2 linked regions of the Rattus norvegicus genome follow. The protein of the gene in region 1 purifies or fractionates together with the protein of each later gene. This does not show direct contact. Links are inferred from orthologs where the notes say so. Each region holds a gene or a part of one and is shown in the gene's direction. Other genes may lie near its edges.

Region 1 (2,983 bases):
AAGGAAGGAAGGAAAGCAAACAGACCTTAACAAACCTGACCCATTTTATGTTGAAGGTATGGATTATTTTAAAAATTACTAGCCTGCTTTTAATTGAGTATTTAGCATTGATCTTGCATGAGGAAAGTAGATATACTAATAAAAGTGGGATTATGGAATTATCTTTACCTTTAAAATTACTCATGATGTTCTCTTTCTCTCCACACAGGGAAGCTTAGATATGCCAACAACAGCAATTATAAAAATGATGTGATGATCAGAAAAGAGGCAAGTTCTATTTTCTCTCTCTCTCTCTCTCTCTCTCTTTTCTCTCTCTCTCTCTTTCTCTCTCTCTCTCCCTTTCTTTTGAGACAGCGTCTCACTTTGTAGCCCTGGCTGTCGGGGAACTCAGTGTAAGCCAACTAGACTGACTTTGAACTCAGAGATCCACCTGCCTCTGGCTAACTTCTGTTTACATGTTTATTTTTTTATATCTTGTTCATTTATCCTGAAGTTATTTCAGAGGTCTGTTTCAAGAAACCAATTTATAGATTGAAATGTTTTTATTTTAATTACATATGATTATAGCATTTTTTTAAAAAATTTTTTATTGTGTTTGTATGCAGCTGGTAGAAATTGGTTTTCTCTTACTATATGGGTTCTAGTGATAGAACACAGGACTTTTTCCTCGGCTGCCTTTACCCACTAAGTCATCTTGGTGGTTTTCATTTTAGTGTTTTTTTTTTTTAACAAAAGAATCACCCTTAATACTTATAACCCCATATCATTTAATTCATTTTATGAAGTGTAAATTTTAAATGAAAGGCGTGGAAGTCAGGCTGGCCTTTGAGTGCCAGCTCACGTGTGAGAGCATTGTGCTCTTACTCTATGGCCCTAATACTGGCCCAGTAACTGTAAGCTGCCTGGGTGCCCCTGCTTCCCCAGAAGAATATGGAGCCTCAAAGAAGCTAGAGTGGGAAGACGGCACAGTGTGTTGTAAAGAGCACGGTGTAGAAAAAGTAGCAGTAGTGAGAAGGACGATTTGGGATCAAATTCAGTTGTTCACGCCTATTGTGTTTGGACATTTAGTTAGGACTTGCTTTTATTTTGTCATGCTGAACTGTGGGACATTCAAACAGATGGGCATTTACAGATTTTATTGAACTGATTTTCAGGCTTATGTCCACAAGAGTGTAATGGAAGAACTGAAAAGGATCATTGACGACAGTGAAATTACAAAGGAGGACGACGCTCTGTGGCCGCCTCCTGACAGGGTTGGCCGGCAGGTCTGTGCCTTGTGAGTTTTTAAGTGGATAGAGTCAAAGTTGGTAATATACTTAGTGTGTTTTTAGGATTTTTTTTTTTAATTGAAACTTTGATTATATAACTTTACTTTCTCTGTAAACTTTTTAATTTTGGTATTGGAGATTGAAGTCAAGGTTTGTACATTCCCAGCAAGCAAATGCTTCTGAGTTACACCTCACAGCCCTTACTTGGCTCCATTTTCCTTGCTAGCTCCACTTACTAAAGGTATTAGCACATAGCTCTAAAGTTAGGCAGTAACATCTTTTCTCTAACTTGTACAGCTCAAGCTTGGACATTTTGACACTTATGAGTTATTTATTATAAATTAGCTATTATTATTAGTTATTTCTGCTATAAATATGTATACACCATCATTGCTAGCTAAATTTGAGAGTTATGGTTATTCTCATTGAATGTAGCAGTTCACTTTCTCCAATTTCTTGTCTTAACATTCATATATCTGAGAGCCGCAGAGAGAGACCCGATGGATTTCTTTGCTCAAGTGGACCATTGTGTTTGCTTCTTAGACCCCCCTCAGAATAATCGATGTTTCCAAAGTGCTCCCAAAGAACTCGGCAGGCCCAATTTCACTCTGTATAGACAGTTTGGTTTCTAAATTGGGACTTTTCAACTCTTAGAGAAATGAGATACAAGGTCGAAAGAACTAAGCATCTAATGTCACTTTTGTGTGTTCTGAGGACTATACATATGGCGGGCACTCTTTTTGACGAGAAGAAAGATCTGTAGAGAAGCCTGGCACATGTTGAAAGGAGCAGTGGTGGAACTGTTCTGTGGCAGGAACTCCATGCAGAGCGTCGTATCAGGAAGCAGAGGCGGTGGTCTGTGTCCTGCGGGAACCCGAGTTACAGGGCCACTGCATAGGAGTAACTGGGCATCTGTGTCCACAGAGAACAGCAGGGCATTTTAAAACTATTAAACTTGTTTCTACAGGGAGGATGTGATATGCAGATTTGTCTGTGTTAATAAGGCGATATACTCTTTCAGAGGGTAGATTTGTAATATACATGAGAAAATGTTGCTATTTTTCATTTATCTCTGCCTTAGTAACATTTCTGAACATCAATTTTAGAAAAATAAATTCAGAGACAGAGGACGTTGAGTATGTATAAAAATGTTTTCATCTGGGGAGAGCCAGTGCTCATTCCTGTGTAGTAGCTTTGCGTTCTCTGTGAGGGAGTAGTCTGCGTGCTCCAGACACTGCTGCCGGATAGTTAAACCAAGCCTGCTGTGATTAGCAGAGAATCTTAGCTAATCCTCAGGTGGCTGTGTCTCATGAAGTGCACAGTTAGGCCTTTTGATTAAATAGCTGGGACTGTCTTTAATAGCATCTGGTTGATAATTTAGTGTAAAAATGCACTAATATGCAGCTCCTTCACTAGCTTTAGATTTCTGGATAAGTAGTACAGATAAAATTTGTATGATGATAATCATCCTGGAGTAACTAGATTATATTGATTATGTTGCATTGTTATGTAAGTTCTAGTTTTCATTCTGTTTCAGAGGGGATTAGGCTCTAAGTAGCCACATTACTCTATGGAGAGCCAGTGTTACTTGTGGTTATTGATATCTTTGTGTGTTCTGTGCTTTGTGAGTTTAGGATTGAACATTTGTGATAGAAGGCTAGTAAAGACTATAACGTTGTAAAGGTGTTTTAGGGACTGCAGAGAATACTCGTAAT
Region 2 (4,594 bases), on another chromosome or scaffold:
ATTTCTCCAAACCCTTGTTTAAAATTTGTCATTTTTAAAACGATGTGTTTTTCCATTCTTATAACATTGACTATAAAGTTTATTTAATTTAGTTATCTATAGATAATACTTTAAATGTTTTGGTTTGTTCTTTTGAAGGAGTCCCTTATGTTAAAATGCTGCAGGTTGGATTAACTACCAGAGGTGAAGCATTTGACCCCTTACTTCTCCGACACTCAGTGCAGTCCTACATAGCACGAGTGTCTTAGGGTTTCTGATGCTGTCATGAAACACCGTGACCAGAGTGGGAGGAAAGGGTTTATGTGGGCTTATACTTCCACATCACTCATGCTAGACTGATTTAAAACACTACTGGATGACAGATTTGTTCATTTACCAGAGGTCCTAAGACAATCTTTTCAGTAAAGGACTCATGTCAGATATTTATGTCGCATGCCATGTGCCCGATGGTAAGGTCCTGGACGGGCATCCGCAGCTGCGTGTCCCCTGTCCTGCTCCAGTACACTGCTCAGCTCAGCCAGACCAACCTCACCACTACATACAGTCTTGCTTTTCTGCACACTTGTTTTATGTGTTCTGAATGAGTATGTATGTCTGTATACTGTGTATGTGCCTGGTGCCTGTGGAGGTCAGAAGAGGGTGTCAGATCCTCTGGAAGTGGAGCTACGGATGGTTACAAGCCTCCATGTGGGTCCTCTGCAGGAGCAAGAACAGAGGCTCTTAACCCCTCAGTCATCTCTCCAGCCCCCTACCCATCTGAACGTTGTTTCAGAGGGAACTTGTCTTTCTTTTTTTTTAAAAAAAAAAATTTTTTTTTAAGATTTATTTATTTATTATATGTAAGTACACTGTAGCTGTCTTCAGACACACCAGAAGAGGGCATCGGATCTCTTTACAGATGGTTGTGAGCCACCATGTGGTTGCTGGGAATTGAACTCATGACCTCTGGAAGAGCAGTCAGGGGCTCTTAACCACTGAGCCATCTCTCCAGCCCCGGAACTTGTCTTTCAAATCCATCTTGCACTTTTCACTTACCTATTTTATTTTATGTATGTATGTGTGTGTATATGTGTGTATGTATTTATGTATGTATGTGTGTATATATGTATGTATTGAGACAGTGTCCCTTGTAGTCTAGGCTGGATTTGAAATTGCTGTGTAACTGAAGCTGAGCCTTTTCCAGATCTTTCTGCCTCACCTCTAGATCCTCTGAACAAGCAGCCAAAGCTCTTAACCGCTTCCTCCTTCAGTCCCAGCGTGGCTGTGGCTCTTGTTATTCCCTGACATCACCTGTCTGACTCACCTGAAGAGCTGGTGTACCGCTGGGAGCCTTGCCTAGTATATGAGGGCTCAGTGCTCTATGCCAGCAACTCTATACAGAATACTATCTCCTCCCTCAAAAACAAAGAAAGAAGAAGCTCTTTGTCCCCTGAGTTCTTCTCCCCAATACCATGTCTCTATTTACTTTTTTCTATCACCTCCAAGTGTTATATCATGTCTTAACCATTTTCTTCTTTTAAAAGTTTGTATTATATCTTTGCTGGGTGGTTGTGTTTTTAATTGCTGAAGCCTCTGGTCCTCTTAAAAAATATATTTAATTATTTTGAGTACTTTTTTTTTTTTTTTTTTTTTTTTTGGGTGTATGTGTGTGCATATGTGCCGTGATGCCAGAGTCGGTTCTCTCCTTTCACCATGTTGGTCCTGGGGATGAGCTAAGGTCTCCTGGAACCTTTACCTACTGAGCCTAAGGTTTATGGGGCCGGGGTATAGGTCATTTGTAGCACAAACACAGCACCATGTAAATCAACCATGTAGACTTCTGAGTGTTCTCTTGATGTCTTCCTGGGCACCTTGTTGTATCCGTGTATGCACGGATATACACACCTCACATGCACATAAATAAAAAACATGAACCAGTGTCCTTTGCATCCGCGTGTTCCCATGCCTTTGTGATCCATCTTCCTAAAAGTTTTGAATAAAATCTTTCGCTCAGTCTTCTTTTCTCTTCTCCGTGTACTTGCCTTGGCCCCTGACGGTGTGGTTTCTTTACTGCTGTTGATGTTCCCTTTGCCTTGTACTTTCTCAGAAAGCCAGCTCTCCCTGGTCTGCCTCATGTGTTACTTAGAAGCAGCAGCAGCCACTCTGTGGGGGCAAGGATTCTGAGTTAGTCAGTAAATAGCAGAAGATTGAAAGTTGATGTGAGAAGTGCCTTAGCTGTGGTCTCTCACCTCAGCACGCAGGAAGTGGAGGTGGGAGAATTGCAAGTTCAAGGCCTGCTTGTTCGACATACTGAGCCTTGTCTTTCATTAGGACGGAAGGATGGGTGCTGGGGGTTGTGCACATTTACACACACTTCTCTCACTTTGGAAGGTGTTTGGAAACGAGAGACTAACTGCAGCTTAATTTCTGTCATTTCAGGCAAGTACATTGCCTCAACACAGAGACCCGACGGGACATGGCGCAAGCAACGGAGGGTCAAAGAAGGATACGTGCCCCAAGAGGAGGTCCCAGTGTGCGTGGTTAGGCTTAACAAGGGGTATTTAGTGGGTCCCTACACAAGTATAGCGTATTATGCCGTGGAGTTCAGGGATGAATCGCCTGGGCCTGAAAGAAATGGAAGGAGGGACAACGGTCTCAGGAGAGGAAGGAGCTGGGATTGAGGGGTGAGTGGGGGTTTCCCCAACTAGTCTTGTTCCTTTGACCTCTCTTCTCCAGGATCTCTAGACAGCAGTCAGAGGGCCAGAGCCTTGAGTTCTAGAACTTTGGTACAGACCAGGGACCCTGAAGGGCAGAGAAAACGGGAGTGCAATGGGAAGGGGTGAGGTGGGAGGAGTGAGGCTGGGGTTAGTCCTGGAAGCTTTAGCATCTCTGTTTCTTGCAGCTATGAAAACAAGTATGTGAAGTTTTTCAAGAGTAAACCGGAACTTCCCCCAGGGCTGAGCCCTGAGGCCACCACACAGGTCACACCATCCAGACCTGACAGTGGTGAAGCAGGCCTCTCCAAGACAGCCAAACGCAACCTGAAGCGGAAGGAGAAGAGGAGGCAGCAGCAGGAGAAAGACGCGGAGGCCTTGAGCAGGACTCTTGATAAGGTGTCTCTGGGAGACTCAGCCCAGATGCCCAGTGCTCACCATGGCCCCCAAGCCACCCCTCCAGCTGCCTCCGATGCACCTGACTCTGCTGCCACCACAGAGAAAGCCAAGAAGATCAAGAACCTGAGGAAGAAGCTGCGACAGGTGGAGGAGCTGCAGCAGCGCATCCAGGCCGGGGAGATCAGCCAGCCTAGCAGAGAGCAGCTGGAGAAGCTGGCACGGCGGAGGGTGCTGGAGGAGGAGCTGGAGGACTTGGAGTTGGGCCTGTGAGGCTTCAGGAGTAGGGGAGTGGACTGCAGAACAAACCATGGGGTGCTCTGGGGTCCAGGGAGCGTGGGCCGCAGCAGTCAGGAGGGGCACCCCCATACTGGCTCACTTCCACCTCCTCTGGCCCGACTCCGTCCTCCAGAGCCGAGGCTCTCTCTCCTTCATCCCTTTCCCTTCTCAGCTCCCATTTTTGAACTTTTCCCTTCCATCCATTGTTCACAGTCTGAGTGCTGACCCCAGGTACCTCTGCTGCTGATCTGGGTGTCTTGTTGAAAAGGAACCCCAGGAGGGTGGGAGTCTGTCGGAGATCTGAGGCTGAGGGTACAAGGAGTACCCACGTTTTAGAGTCTTGGTTCCTGTTCAGTGTTTATGAGTTACTTCCCTGCCATCCCGAACCTCTTCTTCCTCTTCCTCTTCCTCCTCCTCCTCCTCTTTTTTTTTTTTTTTTTTTTTTTAAAGGCAGTAAGAATAAATTCAACTAGACGGCATGGCTCAGGCTTTGACTCTCTTCTCAACTCTTGTTCTGTCTATGAAGAAGACACTAGGGTTTTAATGGTGCTGGGGACTGAACCCAGGGCCTTGCACATGATAGCCCTGCCACTAATCTGCATCCTAACCCTTAACACTTCACCATCATACATGCAACTGGCTGTGGTAGCACACACCTGTAGTAGGACTGGAGTCAGGCGGGATCGCCAACATTTCAAGGCCAACCTGGTCTATCTCAACAAAGTAATGTAGGGCAAAATTACACTTCAGTAAACAGAAGTTAGCATTGAAATGTAGTAAAATTTAGAACAAGATTAATTTGACACTAATGTATGTGTCATTGTGCCACAGAACAATACATCTGCTGTACCTTCCTTATTGCTTCTGAAGTTAACTGTAAACCAGTTGAAATTTCACCTTGGATGATGCCCAAGATGGTGTCAGGGCAAAGTAATGACTTACTGAGATATATCCAAAAGATCTGCTGTTCATCTCTTGTCTTACCCATGCTGCACCTTTGTCACAGAGTACTGGGAACCAGGGTTAGCTCTCAGGAATTCAGAGGCCACCAAAATTAACCCCGTTAAACTCTTACCCTCTCCCAGGCCTTTTAAAGCTTTTGGATCTTTGAGAATCCTTCCTTTACCATTACTGTCACCCTCAAACATGAGCTAAGTCACCCATGTCTGTGTGCTCCATGTGTGCTTGCCCATGGTACACAGACGTGGAGAAGACATCCACCTTGT

What was found. The genes of interacting proteins can lie anywhere in the genome.
Region 2: the proteins of Magohb (region 1) and Pym1 purify together in Homo sapiens (co-immunoprecipitation; 3 studies listed by BioGRID and IntAct, with this or other methods). This does not show direct contact. The link is inferred for Rattus norvegicus from reciprocal best matches to the Homo sapiens genes MAGOHB and PYM1.

What each region holds. Positions count from the first base shown.
Region 1 is NC_086022.1:166,767,497-166,770,479, reverse strand, and holds part of Magohb (protein mago nashi homolog 2), read left to right. Parts: exon of another isoform or gene 1-56; intron 57-208; coding exon 209-267; intron 268-1,154; coding exon 1,155-1,265; exon of another isoform or gene 1,266-1,276; intron 1,277-2,983. UniProt on the Homo sapiens protein: Required for pre-mRNA splicing as component of the spliceosome. Plays a redundant role with MAGOH in the exon junction complex and in the nonsense-mediated decay (NMD) pathway.
Region 2 is NC_086025.1:1,779,586-1,784,179, forward strand, and holds the end of Pym1 (partner of Y14 and mago), read left to right. Parts: intron 1-2,418; coding exon 2,419-2,512; coding exon of another isoform or gene 2,513-2,660; exon of another isoform or gene 2,661-2,881; coding exon 2,882-3,362; 3' UTR 3,363-3,846; downstream 3,847-4,594. UniProt on the Homo sapiens protein: Key regulator of the exon junction complex (EJC), a multiprotein complex that associates immediately upstream of the exon-exon junction on mRNAs and serves as a positional landmark for the intron exon structure of genes and directs post-transcriptional processes in the cytoplasm such as mRNA export, nonsense-mediated mRNA decay (NMD) or translation.